Linked DNA regions of Mytilus edulis. The protein of the gene in region 2 interacts with the protein of the main gene of each other region in a pairwise test. Links are inferred from orthologs where the notes say so. Each region holds a gene or a part of one and is shown on either strand. Other genes may lie near its edges.

What was found.
Region 1: the proteins of pre-mRNA-splicing factor SLU7-like (region 2) and peptidyl-prolyl cis-trans isomerase-like 3 interact in binary tests that used the Homo sapiens proteins (3 or more experiments, as listed by UniProt). The link is inferred for Mytilus edulis from reciprocal best matches to the Homo sapiens genes SLU7 and PPIL3.

Annotation. Positions count from the first base shown.
Region 1 is NC_092345.1:496,777-504,518, forward strand, and holds the start of peptidyl-prolyl cis-trans isomerase-like 3, read right to left. Parts: upstream 4,312-7,742; 5' UTR 4,245-4,311; coding exon 4,242-4,244; intron 3,610-4,241; coding exon of another isoform or gene 3,508-3,609; intron 2,774-3,507; coding exon of another isoform or gene 2,482-2,773; intron 2,081-2,481; coding exon of another isoform or gene 1,992-2,080; exon of another isoform or gene 1,980-1,991; intron 1-1,979. Other genes in the region: uncharacterized protein, read left to right, coding at 1,992-2,080, 2,482-2,773, 3,508-3,609. UniProt on the Homo sapiens protein: PPIases accelerate the folding of proteins. It catalyzes the cis-trans isomerization of proline imidic peptide bonds in oligopeptides. May be involved in pre-mRNA splicing.
Region 2 is NC_092347.1:43,105,994-43,113,735, reverse strand, and holds the start of pre-mRNA-splicing factor SLU7-like, read right to left. Parts: upstream 4,328-7,742; 5' UTR 4,196-4,327; intron 1,677-4,195; 5' UTR 1,655-1,676; coding exon 1,491-1,654; intron 1,008-1,490; coding exon 857-1,007; intron 258-856; coding exon 177-257; intron 1-176. Other genes in the region: pleckstrin homology domain-containing family A member 1-like, read left to right, coding at 5,978-6,118, 7,664-7,723. UniProt on the Homo sapiens protein: Required for pre-mRNA splicing as component of the spliceosome. Participates in the second catalytic step of pre-mRNA splicing, when the free hydroxyl group of exon I attacks the 3'-splice site to generate spliced mRNA and the excised lariat intron.

The DNA of each region.
Region 1 (7,742 bases), on a different chromosome or scaffold from region 2:
GTACATCATAAAAGTTCATAATCTTCTGTAGCACACGTGCATGGTTAATTCGGATCACATATTTTCTATTCCGATGTTATAAGAATTCGAAGGTTCATATCATTTACAATATCCTTCAAAGAATTTCTGGGATTTTTTTTTACTATCAACGTTGAACCTCGAGGTTACATTGTAGTTAAAAAAAATCCAATAAAAACGTTGAATGTAAATGATATGCACCTTTAAATCTTATTTTGTAGGACTCATGTTGTTCAAACATAATGTGTTGATCAATTATGTTATGATGATTTTGATAAACTTTCACATTAGGTAATCTTTCACGTATATTGATTACATTATATCGAGTTGTCCCAACGATATACTTGTCGGTGTGCTCGATCATACGAATTTACCGACATTCATATAGACAAAATGACACAACTTTGAAAAATTCTTGTGACGAAACTACATTTCGGAACACGTTAAAAATTGGATACCCAGAAAGCTACATTATTAAGGTTTGATATATATTTTTTTCAAAAAAAAAGAAAAATATGCAGTCAAATCTGGCAGTTTTTTACACACCCCTATGTTGAACAATAGGTTGTTCAATTAACAGCATGTTTGGCAATTAAAAAATCATATATTAACACATTTAGCTTTAACATATACTTTATTTATAGTGGTTGTATAAAAGTTATATAATGGTTTTGTGTTTTAAGAGATATTCATCCCTATGCATATCGGGTTTTATGCGTAAATTGTCTCTCCTGTTCTTAGACCTTTTCTATCTCTTTCATAAGAAGAGTGACTTTTCTATTGTTCTAGTGCCACTGGAAATCCCACTGATTGAACAAACTCAGACTACGATTAGTAGATTGTTTTTTTTTTACTTTAATAAAAAAAAACACTTTACATATTAAAATTATATACGAATTTATGAGATTATAATGAATATTTTTGAAAAAAAGACCATATATAGAAATGTATTAAATATTTGTTATATGAGTTGAATTTGATATGTTTAAATGAGGATAATTAACTTTTATTTGAAATATCATTGTGATTTATTGTGTGTATTGACAAAAGATATTTTAATGATTGGCGTGTGTTCGTGTTTTTATTGTGTTTAATCCTTGGTGTTTATGATTAGTATATAAACAAAGAGAAATTTGATTGACAGTGAATGGCTTCTTCACAATTTCACTTATCTGTAGTTCTTTTTTAATGGCTTCAGCAATTGAAAAGTAATTATATTCAAATGGTCACATCAAACGGATACAATGTTTTTAGAAAGGCAAGCCGAGGCCAACATTTATTATACATGTATCTAAAAATAGATTTGGAGTAAAATTGAAAAAACAACAGAGATTTCTTTGATCTTACCAAATACTTCTACAAAATAACATGAAAAAAAAATCCCTCATCATTTTCAAAATGGGTACCGACCACTGCGTCGAGTGTTCTAGAAAGGTTACAACAAAGCAACATGCCTTACAGTGTGATTCGTGTAGTTTATGGCAGCACAGAGTTTGTAATACTGGTAAGTGCTTCTACATGTATATATTATTCTGACTTGTTCATAATTGTTACTCATAAACATTTTACTTTCTATGGATAAAAAAGTCTTGCTTGATTGTTCTTTTACTTTAAGGAAATTAAAGTTGTATTCAGTAAGATACTTCTTCTTTGTAAAAATGTTGTATTAGCTTCCTATAAACAGAATTTTAATTATTTTTTATAATGCAAAACTTATCGTATTTGTACATGTGTGTATTATATATTACAATGACTATACTTGAAGTATTATAAAAATAATAGATGCTTATAAGATGCTTTCTCAATTTTATTATAAGGGTTTAATAAATATATGGATTTTTAAAAAAAAAATTTTTATGTATGGATTTTTTAAAATTTTTTAAAAAGAGGATTTGGTTGACATTATATATAATTTTTAGTTGTATAAGTGACTTCTGTTATTAAAATCATGTTATAACTTTTCAGGTATTACAATGAAGGAGTATCGTTCGATGATGAAAAGTGAAGAGACCTTAAATTTCATCTGTACCAAGTGCAATGATAAAGAAGAAGAAACAACCAGGTAGGCACTCTTTATGTATGATAAATCTTATTGTAATAGTGTGTTTATGTTGAAATTTTAAAGTTGATACATTTGTTTTATAACAAACTTGGTGTTACAATTATATATGTATATATAAAATTTCGAAACATGAAGATGTTATATGATTGCCAATGACCCCATATTCAACAAGAGTGGATACCCTTTTTTTTTCAAACATAAAATTTAATTAGTATATAGAAATCTCTATCAAAATGTTGTACGATTGCCAATGACCAAATATCCATCCAATCAGAGATCAATGATGCCGGGTGTTCAACTATATGTCACTGTATAAGTAATGTTGGTCTTCGTTTTAATGCATTAATGAACTTATATCTGCTAAAAATATAAAACTTTAATAACTTATTATCCTTTTTCAGTGGTCCAGTCAATTCTACAGTTATAACAGACGTCTCCGACCAACCAATACCAGACTACGGTACCCTCAACCTGTCTGTCATCTCAGCAGCAAACTCTACCAACAACCTCAACAGAACATTCACTATCAGCCGTGACCCTGACCAACCAACTGAGGCAGACACAACAGGTGCTGTAGACCAGCCAACTGAGGCAGACACAACAGGTGCTCTAGACCAACCAACTGAGGCAGACACAACAGGTGCTCTAGACCAACCAACTGAGGCAGACACAACAGGTGCTCCAGATACCGATGTAAATTTTCAATATATCAACTTCAAATATAAGTTTTTTTGTACTTTTCTTTTTATATATATATTTATATCTTGTTAACATATTTTTTTTTATCCCCTTCAAAAATGTTCAAAAATAAATTATATAATTAATTGTAGATAAAAATTCATTTTAAATTAAGAATTGAAAATTAATTTCAAATGACAGCAACAATCAACATTATACTTATAGTTATATTCTTATAGTAGTCCGAGTTTGGTATAGTCCGAGTTTGTTATAGTCCGATTTTGGGAGGCCGAGTTTGTTATAGTCCGATTTTGTTATAGGCCGAGATATCATGGATTCTTCAGATAGGTTTACAATAGATTGCAAGTTTTGTCACTTTAGCAGAAAACTGGTTATCCCAATTTTTAGTAAAGTGTATATATATGTTGATGCATATAATGCTAGAGATTATAGCCAATATAACTAGAAAATGCCATTCTGCCCTAATTTGCTTTAAATCCAGTGCAAACAAAAATACCCCTCTACAGAGGTATAATTTTATCCCTCTGAAGAAGGATTATCCCTCTATAGAGGTATAATCACCATACAGGGGGTTTGTTCCCAACCTGTTACATGTAACAGTATTCGTCTATACCAATTTTAAACAAGTTAAGTCATCTCACAGTCAGTAGAGAAATTTTGGGATTTTTATAGGCACACCCACTTCCAGATAAAGTAAGCCAGAATATCCCTTGTCCTTCTTTACATAGGTTGGTCCCCTCCGTAAAACATTCAGTATGCCTTCGGAATATACAAATATATTGTCAAGAATTTCAATAACGGCCGAGAAACAGACTCGAGTGGGGTGCTAATTTTCGCCACATCTTTCCATGTTTTCTACAGTTTATGTTCAGGTCTAAATGTTTTTGAAGTATACTGATATTTCTATATGAAGATAACTTCAAATGCAAATTATACTTAAGCTTGAAAACCGGTTTGTTTTAAGAAAATCATCTGAAAAGTTAGATTAAAGGGTGTTTGAAACTTCCGGATGTTTTGTCAATGGGGGACACATATTCGCCGTTTTTACACATCTATTTAAAACCAAATAACCGCAGCTTTTAACAATTTTTATCAAATCAATTGCATTATAGATGAATAGCAGACATTTCAAAGGTATAAAGAATTCAAATTTAGGGCATTCAGTCAAATATTTATTTAGAAATACTTCTTTGAAATCGTGTTTTTTATTCAGGAAAGTGTCCGAAAATCGTTGTCCGTTTTTCGGTCATTTTCGGTAGGAGCCGCAATTTTGTCTCAGTTTAAAAAAATATTATATTTGTTATAAAAATATAATTTACGGGTACATTTCTTCCATTTCAGCCATCCTTTGAAGTTTTTACACCTCAAAATCCTTAAACGGCGAAATTGTGTCCCCGGCGAAAATGAGCACCCCACTCTATAAGGTATGTTATAATTCATTGAAAGATCGAATAAAAGTTACCATATTAAATGTATAATTTCAATTTTGTTTGGAAGAATACAACCGGAAACAATGTGTTGTTTGTATAAAATAAACTATCCCGGATACGAACATGTGAAACATGCGGTCTCACTATTTATAGACAAGTGACAAGAAGCGACAAGTAGGGGTTGCACTAATGACAGGACGATTGCCCGGATAGTGACAGGACGGTTGACCGGACGAGATATACATAGTCATAGTTTTTTTGTTATTTGGTAGATTTTTTAAATATTTATAGACCTTTATTAAACTATATTTTATGAAAATTAAAAAAAAAAGGGAAAATAATTATTTTTGAGCCAAAAAAGTTGACCGGACGGTATTCACACTCGCCGATATACGCTATATATATATATTCAACTGGTCAACGACAAGTGTTAATATCTTTTTTGTTTTACAATATTTGTCCATGAAATTCAGGAACCTGTGAGATTTATAAATATATTATACGAACATATAAACTTGATAGCAAAAAATCGTGTTTTTTTTTGTTTTTTTTAAAGTTGACCGGACGGTATTCACCCTCACCGATATACGCTTTATATATTTTCAACTGGTGGACACAAGTGTTCATATATCTTTTGTTTTACAATATTTGTCTATGAAACTCAGGAATCTGTGAGATTGAAGAATATATTACACGAAAATATAAACTTTATAGTAAAAAAAAAAAATCTGCAAAAAAAGTTGACCGGACGGTATTCACATTCGACGATGTACGCACTGATTATATTGAACGGAAGTAGGACAAGTCGCCCCACTGGCAAGTCGCCCCACACCTAGTCGCCCCACTTTTTCACCAACTCGCACCACTTTAAAAAAAAAAAACCGCCCCAACCTGGATCACCAACTCGCCCAACTTTTTAGAAAATCGCCCCACATGTGAAATTGGTTACATCATGTTTAATATTACTCCTGCCAACTCGCCCCACTTAATGGAAAACGGTAATATTTAGATATAGAATTAAAATATAAAAACTCGCCCACTTAAAAATAATTTTCGTATTATTGAAGAATAACTGTATTTTTTTAAGATTAGTTATTTGCATAACAATTGAAAAGAAACCTGTTAATTGTATCATAATGCAATATATCATAATACTTAACGGATTTCAATTAACAGCAATTTGTTATCATAGCAATTACCAGATTGGTTACTTTTGTCTCTAAATTTAGAATAGATATTATCGTTTTCTATAAGTGGGGCGAGTTGGCAGGAGTAATGTTTACAGAATTTAAGTTATATACAACGGGATAACATCTTTTTCCATAAGTGGGACGAGTTGGCAGGAGTAATATTTACGGAATTTAACTTATATACAACGGTATAACATCTTTTTCCATAAGTGGGGCGAGTTGGCATTACTACATTCATCCTGGTTAATAATATAATATAAATCTAGATATTATCGTTTTCTTTCAAATGGGGCGAGTTGGCAGGAGTAATATTCACGGAATAACATCTTTTTCCATAAGTGGGGCGAGTTGGCATTAATACATTCATCCTGGTTAATAATATATTAATCTAGATATTATCGTTTTCTATAAGTGGGGCGAGTTGGCAGGAGTAATGTTGACGGAATTTAAGTTATATACAACGGGATAACATCTTTTTCCATGAGTGGGGCGAGTTGGCTTTACTACATTCATCCTGGTTAATAATATGTTAATCTAGATTTTATCGTTTTCCATTCAGTGGGGCGAGTTTTCAGGAGTAATATTAACGGGATTTAACACATTTCACAAGTGGGGCGATTTTTTAAAAAGTGGGGCGAGTTGGTAAAAAAGTGGGGCGACTAGGAGTGGGGCGACTTGCCAGTGGGGCGACTTGTCATGGATTCTATTGAACTGAGCGACAAAAAAAGTGACCGGACGGAACTAACATTCGCCGATATATATATGCCTTTATAATATTAAATTGATTGACACAAGTGTTAATATCTTTTTTTTTTACCATATCTGTCCCTGAAATTTATGAACATTGGAGATGAATAAATATATCATACGAAAAATTAAACTATATACATGTATTTAAATAAAAAAAAATAAAAATAAAAAAAAAATGACCGGACGGATTTTACATTCAACCGATATATGCTTTAATATATTGAACTGATCGACACAAGTATTAATATCTCTTCTTTTGTTATAATATTTTTAATAAGCCGTTTTGTTTTTGAAGTTGAAAGTACCTCCATTAAAGCAAAATTCAAGCAAATTTGCTATAGAGTAAATCCCACAATCATAACCATTTGGCTGTCGTTGGACTTCTGGGAGTTTAATTGAAATTTGCTTTTTGCCGTGACCATAAATAGCAGCAAGCTGAATGTCAAGGGATGGTGTAAGAGTAAAAGTCTTACTGAAGCTATCCAGAACATAGATCTATACACTGGTCGTCCACTGATTGCAATGAAGTTACCCAGTGGGATTTGCCAGTATGGTGTATTTGTACAGTTGGACATCCCTTTTGTGAAAAGCTAACAATTTTTTCTGACCAAGACTTGGTAGCATCGTCAAAGACAGGTGAAAGTCCTGTAGGCTGAAATCCAGATATGTTCGGAAATTGTCTTGAAATAATTGTGCAACAGACATTGATAATCTCTGAGCATAACCATTCATTATTTTATATAGTTTGCTTATGGTCTGAATTGAGACCAGGAATCCATGCAATCGGTATAGGCTTTAGTTTTACTTTCTTTACTGGAGGTAGACTATCAGTTACAAGTATCTGATGATCTTGACTATCACCATTGTCAGCAAAACCTCAATATCTTAGTATATTTTGGTGTTGACATAGCCTTCTGTTTTGATGGAGTATTTAACTTGGCTGGTGTTTTCAGCTTCGATGTACGAGATGTTTCAGGTTTAGTTAAAATATCTACTATTTCTGTTTGATGTAATACATCTGTATGCATATAGACAATAGACCCACTGTCCATTTTGATATTTTGTCTACTAGTAAGTTGTGCTAATATAGTGGCTATACAACTGTCTTTAAAAAGACATGCCTTTAAATAAAGCAATATATAGTAGTACTAATATCAATCTATTTACTTTTGTATTTATAAATATATGTTTGACAACTGTCAATATATCTATATTTCAATAATGAATATATATTGAAAATTGTCTTTAAAAAGACATGATTAAAGCAAAATATAGTAGAAATATAATTTGTGCGATCTGAACTGGTTGAAAGTCAGCTAGAGCATAAATGACTGAACAATTGAATAGTTATTACTAGGTGAGTTAAAAGTTAATCTGAAATCCTGAACTTCATCAAATTCCTTCTTTAATTGGATACTAATTACCAACTGATTATAAGGTAATTTGTATTTGATATCTCAGGTGTGAAAACTCACATAAACATTTTGGGCTCATTGTTTTTGGGCTCATTGTTTTTACTTTAAAGTTTATATTTCTTATGAAATATTTATTAATCTCACACAAATATGTTACAACAATACATTATAGATTCTA
Region 2 (7,742 bases):
GAATTTAAATTTGTGATTTCATACTGGCATTTAATTATGTACAGTCTTAGTCCGATGAGCATGATGAGTTTCAATTAAATATCTGCTGTAGTTTTATTTTTCATGGATTAGATTTACTAATATATATTTGTTCCAACACAGTAAAGAATACAGAAAAATGTATAATTATTACTTACTTCAAAACAATCTTTCTTTTGATGTGTCATAGAACCACAGTTCTGGCATGCTCCTTTTCTAAATTTTGTAGCTGTGGACCCCTATAATGTGTTATATAATAATTGAACTCAATCTGTAATGCTTTTCTTTATAAAATGACATAATTTTTAAAATTATTGAGTTCATGTTAGAGCAAAAGAATATAATCGCAAGATCTTTACATATTTCTAATTTTTACTTTTTAAAAAACTAGTTCAGCCATTCATTGTTTTGTTCAACTTTTAAAAACATGATACACACATCAATTTCAATGAGAGAAATTTAACAAAATTATCAAAACTGTAAAATTCATTTTATATTCTAACCTTTTAATGTGTATATATATGTTAAAGGAATATACAATTGCCTTGTTGTTCCAAAAGCATTCAATTCTTTGATTATTTTATGAAAACTAAATACTGTAGAAACATAATTTTTGCGAGGTTTTGTAATTTTGCGTACGATTTTATTTGAAGTAAACTTTGTAGATTCTAGAATGTGATTGTAAAATTCTACATGTTCTATGCTGGTTAAAATTTTGTTGAGGTTTTAATTTTGTGGATATTTTATGACATAAATGAAATATAAAACGCCCTAATGTTCTGCTTTAAGAGTGGAATTTTTTATACACATGTATCAGATGAACTAGTTTAGAAAATACCTGTTTAACTCCCCTTTTGTACCATGCTCCCACTTCAGATAACGGTTTCATTGTCTCTGGTTGAACTCTCTGATGCTTCAGTGTTGCTGCATCTACGCCATAATACCAAGGAGCTTGCATAATATACTGAGGAATATGAGGATTTATTTCTCTAAAAAAACAAATAAGTATTTCATTTATTATGTTATAAATTATATATACAATACTGGTTTATTGTAGGAAAACATGAATATTGATTACTAAAAGCTTTCGAAAGAGAGAGAAAAGTGAGGCTTGTCACTCCTGTTTCGAAGATAGTCCAAATAAGTTTTATTTTTCCTTCAAAGTATGTATATTGTTATTATCCTGCAATTTACACTGAAAAGTATAGTTTTATATTTCTTAACAGCTGAACTTTAAATCTGAATTTTCAATATATATTGGACAAAATGTTTTACAGCATCATTTGACAATGGAGAAAATGAATAAATATACTTAAGATTAAGAAATATTTTTTAAATCATCTAAAAGGAGGCTTCATTTTTGTCACTACTGGCATCACTGGAAACAACCTAAATCTACATAATATCTCTGATCAAAGCATCTTGATTTTTTTAAAGTATGAATCCTTGATATCAGCATAAATTAAACTTACTTTCCTTCTTCATCCACCATGGCTGGAGCTGTTCCTGCCTTTCTAGCTTCCTCCAGCTCTTTCTGTTTCCTCCATTCCTCTCTGGACACTTTCTTTGGAAAGTCATCTTCTGTTTTGGCCAACTTTGCCACCGCAGAGGGTGGCAAATTCAATTGAAACGACATACTGCAGAGATGTTTTGTTTATCTACAAGAGAACTAATGATTGTTAGATGTTTAAAAATGTAAAGTATACTACACATTTTTGATAGTAGTTATGTTTAACACTGACTGTCAAGAAGACTACATATTGTACATATTATCAAAAAATGATTGGTAGTCAAAAGGTTGTAACAATTAAGGACATTTAATTTTACACATGAAATTTAAAACAAGTATTTATCTGTGTGTTCTAAAATCTTATTTATAGGTCATGTACAATTGGCTCCCGGGTACAATAGTTTCAGCAAAAAATTAAACATTTGTTTTTTCATTACAAATTTTATTTATTACACTATTAGTTACTACTTTATGACATGGTACAAAATGCCATTTTTTGCCATCAAATTTGGAATATCTTTTTTAACTCTGACATCGGTGACCTATATCTTTTATTATTGTTTTCAAATCAGCTGTACATAAACTAAATAATTGTAAAATTTTAACAATTTCTGTAATTGAGTTCTTTTTTTTTCGATATTACCTCTAAATCTCCTTTTAGTTCAACAGAAAAAAAAGGACATTCACAAAAATGTATGCTTCCCTCGGAGGCAGATTGTGAGCTTAAATGATCGGTGACCTCATTTTTTTTATTTCATTTTTCTATTAAGTATATGATAAAGTTTATTTATAAAAAAATATAGTGAAATCCTATTTAAAAAAAAAAATGATTTATACCCCGAGCCACCTTAACAAATATCATTGGCACAGGGTACAAAATAAATCACCCAGGCTACTATTCACCATCAAACAAAATGTTGATAAACTGTAATTGGATTTACTTGATAATTGTGAAACGTTTAAAGGTTTTATGATAATTGTACTGGGACTAATGGCAGGTGTAAATTTTATAAACTATATAAAGGATTTGTAAAAACAATAAAAGCATTGTAAACTAAACAAGCTACATGTAAAGGCTTTAAATGCCAATGTTGCTCATCTGGATCTACATAGCTATATATAGGTGTCCGGCCCTCTGTCAGTAAAGTTTAAACACATACATTGACAGCGGGAAAGGAATATACTTAGAAAAAAAGTTTGTTCTGTTCTCAATTTTGATATTTTAATTGGACCTCTGTACTTGAATTTCTTGGTGTCAATATCAAGGACCTGAATAAATTCTACCTGCTCTATCTACTTCCATGAACTTTTGAATTATTCAGGGTGAAACAATCAATACAATCATCATAATTGAGGTATACAATAACTTTTTAAAACAATTAAAACCTTGATTTCAGCTTGGTTGGAACATTTATAGTAATAAAAAAAAATCAGAAAATAATTAAGCAAAAGAAAATACATCATTACATGTTGTTATGCCTTCAGGTCATATATGTAAAAGGACTATATCTGTGTGCATGTATGAAAAAATGGAACAGTTATAAATACAAATGTATTATCTATCATATAGTGCATGTACTTCTTCTTCTTGTTGTCTCCGTATAGGCATCCTTTATAAGGATCACCACCATGAGTTATGGCAGATAAATTGATTGATTGATTGTTGGTTGCTTAACATCCAGTGGCAAATATTTCATGCATATTCAGGACGAGAACAAGTTCACAATAAATACAATAGGTAGGTTGTTGTAATAGAGGCCATCTAGGATGATGGTCGGGGAAATTTGGACTGCCACTGGAAAATGAGGGTATATTGGATAGGGACAGAAATTTTGCCTTGCAACAGGCCACCTACGGACCCCTCAAAGAGTTGTTGCAAGGGTTCTTAACGTGCAAAGAGCATGGCACTCTCTTTACACGAGGCATCGAATTTAACGTCCCCTTCTGCGAACTTGATACATCCCGCACAGCCAAACGGACGCCCCACTTCAGCAAGCGTTTTACTGCCGGTTGGGAGAAGACCAAGTGACCATATTTCTATACCCCAGTCACCCATGGGGGTTTATGGCGGATAAAGGAAGCATTTGCAGCCTGTATCGGTACAGATTAATGTGAGCATTTGCCTACCCAATTCCCCAGCCAGGCCGTGACAGGTCTTATTACCAGAAAGTTAACCTTCCCTCTTCTTCTTCTTTAAGGTCAACAAGGCTTCAATACTGAAGAATACATGTTGTTGCGCATGCGTGATTGACAAAAATTTATACAAAATTTATAAAATTATTTTATAACAATTGGAGTGTTTGTATTTACAGATAATTTTTTTTGTGATTAAAAATATGTGTACATGTTTTGTTTGAATTTGTTTATTTGAAGCTAGAGAGAACATAATACAATATAACAAAATAAAACATACAAACTCACTCACTCACCTGATTCGCTCAGTCCTCAAAGTATAAAAAATGTATTTTTTCTATGTATCAAATATCCTTTTTTAAATATGTACATTTATAGCTTGCTTGATACATTTTTCAAATGCTTGAAATGCGGTACACATTCATTGATTTTATGTTTATTTCGACATTGAAAACAGGCAGTTACATCTGAAATATATGAAATCAATCAGTTTAACTGATGAGTGTATTATGTAAATATATATATATCCTTTACCTTTGTTAAATGGGTAAAATTTGTTTACATCTTCGCAAAAAACATTCGTGGAACGTTTTCGTCCCTTATGCTCATCACAAACACGCTTAGATCCATAGAAAAATGCGGTGTACCATGAGAAATGATCTTGTCAAAATAAAATAGAGCATATTTCTTAAAAATGTAATACTTTAATTAATAATTTTATACTTAAAATGTTTAGTAATTCATAGCTTTACCCAGAGCAATAAAAAATAGACATAATGAAGTGATTAATTCCAAAATAAACTTTTCGTATTTGGAGATTGTCCCTATATTTTATTTTACTTCCGTATCCTGAAACGGCAAGGAAAAAGGTAAACAGTCTTTTTCTGTGACAAAGACAGTAAGTTTCGTTTATAACATGCACATGACCCTTGTTGCATTCATTTGACATATATTCTGCAAGAAGCCCCTTTCTCAGTAGAGTTTTTCTAGGCCCACATCTTTAAATGTACTGTTTTAGTTATCATTGTTATCGTGCATGTATATGGACCTTATAAGGCATTTTTTGCTCTCTTTGGTGTACCACAGAACCACAATATTAAATTCAGTGTTTATATGCCATCTTCAAATATAATTTTGACAATAAATAGACAGATTTTGACAAATCATTTTTTTTTATTCTTTCAAAAAATGACAGTAACAGTGAAAAATTTGAGACCACTGATAAATCACGATAAGGATATATACTGATGAAGCAGGAAAATTTTAACTGATTTGATGCTAACAGTAGCTGTAGTTTGACACCTGACGGTTAAGGGCATTCCTAATCTCAAAGATTGGAAACACTTCTAGGAAGTCACCTTAGATAACGTCTTTATTAAGCGATGTTGAATATGTTTTAAATTTGTCAAGTTGTAGTGGTGTTGTTGTTCTAAATATAGAAACCAATAAACACGCCACAATATATGTATAGGCAGTCGAAACCGAAACGAAATGTGGTTGATACGAAAACATATGACACGACGATAACATAACTAGCATCCAGAGAAAAGATATTAGTTATAGTATGTGCTTTCTGGTTGATCCCGCCCCAAGTCAACCCGTCCCAAGTCGTTACTGTTGGATTGACATGGGGCAGATTGACTTTGGGCTGGATCAACTTGGAGTCACTTGACTTTATGATGTGGTATGAGTGCCAATGAGACAACTCTCCATCCAAGTAACAATTTATAAAAGTAAAACAAAGCCTGTTGCATTAAATGGTTATGGCAAGTATAGTACAAATGAAATAACAAACTGACAATAATTGAATAAGAGTGACAGTGGCATTTTAACATGAAAAAGAAGACTACACATACATGACATACATTGTATATATGTATGTATTGACAGATAAGCAATTATTAATGTCCATGAATTATATTTAAAGGATACATTTAAAAAAATTTATACACATTATCTCAATAAAAGACCATCATTAATAATTTAATATTTTTATTTAAAGTCGTACGTTCATCAATATTTGTGGATTGAAGAAAATATGTACATTGTTTTTTTGTAATTTGTCTGTGTAAAAGCTTAAGGTAAATTTTAGTGTACACTATGATTTTTTTTCCCCGCCTTTACCCACTTTATCCAGTGAAATAGGATGTCCTGAAAATGATGAATTAAAAAATGTATTCACAGTTAATTGATTTGGTAATTTAATAGAAGAGGGCTGCCCATAGTGAGTAGATGAAAAATAAAAATTTACATTAATATGATTAACTTTACCAAAGTTTTTAAACATTACTTTCAGACACTATAAGATGAAGAACAATGCCTTACAAAGATAAGAACGGAAAATTTTGTGGTTTCTTAAATGCAGAGGAAAAAGAGGGAAGTGGAAAATTTCTACGTAGATATTTTTTGTTAGATGAGAAGAAAAGTCGACTGTATTATTATAAAGACAATCCTGGAGTAAGTGACATACTTTCTAAATTTCATGTTTTATATGTTTACTTCATTATACAGTGAATGTGAAACTTGACTAAACTGAATCCTGTATAAACCGAAAACCTGTATAAACCAAACATGTCCGTAAGCACCCTCATATCAAATTATGTGTGTTGTTAAAACCAAACATCAGCCAAAACTGCACAAAAGGAGTAGGTCACGTAAGACCCCTTTTTGGCCCCCAAAATATAGCAGATTTACAAAATTGTTAAAATGTAAACTTCCAGTTATTTATTGGACAGTAGAATGCTTCTGCTACATAAATATGGGCTGTTTTTGACAATACAATGCACATATATCAGGTAATAGCACCATTAAGTCGTGCTAAATTACTGAAATCTTCACAATTCTAGCAGTTTAGTTAAATTTTAGACAGTTTTCGTGTAAATGAAAGTGGCCACATTAGTGTTCATCTGTAATATTGAAATGTAAGTTGTATTTTATGATAATACATAACATATATAAAGGTTGAGGATGAACACGGATGCGGCCACTTTCATATTTGACAAAAACAATCTGAAAAGTGACATTTGTCAGCATATTTGGTAGATTTTTCATATTTGAGCTTAAATCGGATCATTTTTAATGACAGAATCAGTTAAAATCGTTCACATAAACTAATTGATTCAAAAGAAATAGACACTTTAAGTGTTAAAAAAGTGGTCAAAATCTTTTGTCAGATGAACCTGAAATTTGGGGCCAAAATCGGTCCTTACCGGACCTACATTGTTGTACTCCTTTTAAAAAGTCCAGAAGAGGCTCGGTTTAAACAGGTTTCACTGTACTTGGTTAATATGATGGTAAAGTTTTAATGTACAGAATTAGATGTGTCCTGTCATGTCTTAATTTAGGACTGACAAAACTACATGTAGATATAGTTTTAAAAGGTTGGAAGCAAACTTAAACTCATATTATTAACTCTATATAGTTATATGAGTTATGATTGCAATTGACTAGCACAAGCACGAAATTCTTTGAGCAAAGGTAAAATAAATAGTTAAGTGAAGTACATTATGTCTTAAGACATTTTTTCTTCTGATCTTCGAAAAAGTAAAAAATGCTTATGCTATTTTTCATTTGCCTCAAATTACATTTTGAAGAATGTATTCAATACATGCTATACATGCTATAATACAATTTCATACTTAAACAAGTATAGAGTAATGGTATAATGACACAAGAGGTTTCTAAACAGTAAACACAGTAGATCTATTTGAAACTATTAGTAGTGGAAGCCCATGGAAGTAATATTTACTTCCATGGGAAGCCATATTAAATATGTGTATCAGCGGGAAAAAATTATGACAAATAAGAAATATAGTACATTATACAAACAAACCCAATGTATATACCATTCACAGCACCTGGTTATGATTCTTAGCATGACTGGTTTCAGGTACAATTTCATATTTAATTTGACTCCTAAACCAGTTTACTCATGCAGGGTTCACTATATCACAAGTATTGCAATTTCTACTATCATGATATATTGTTATATTCCTGTTTCAGAATTTACATGCTGACTACAGTAAAACTTGTGGAGAGATAGAAATTCACTTTATTTCAAGGGTATGCCACTTAGAATTAG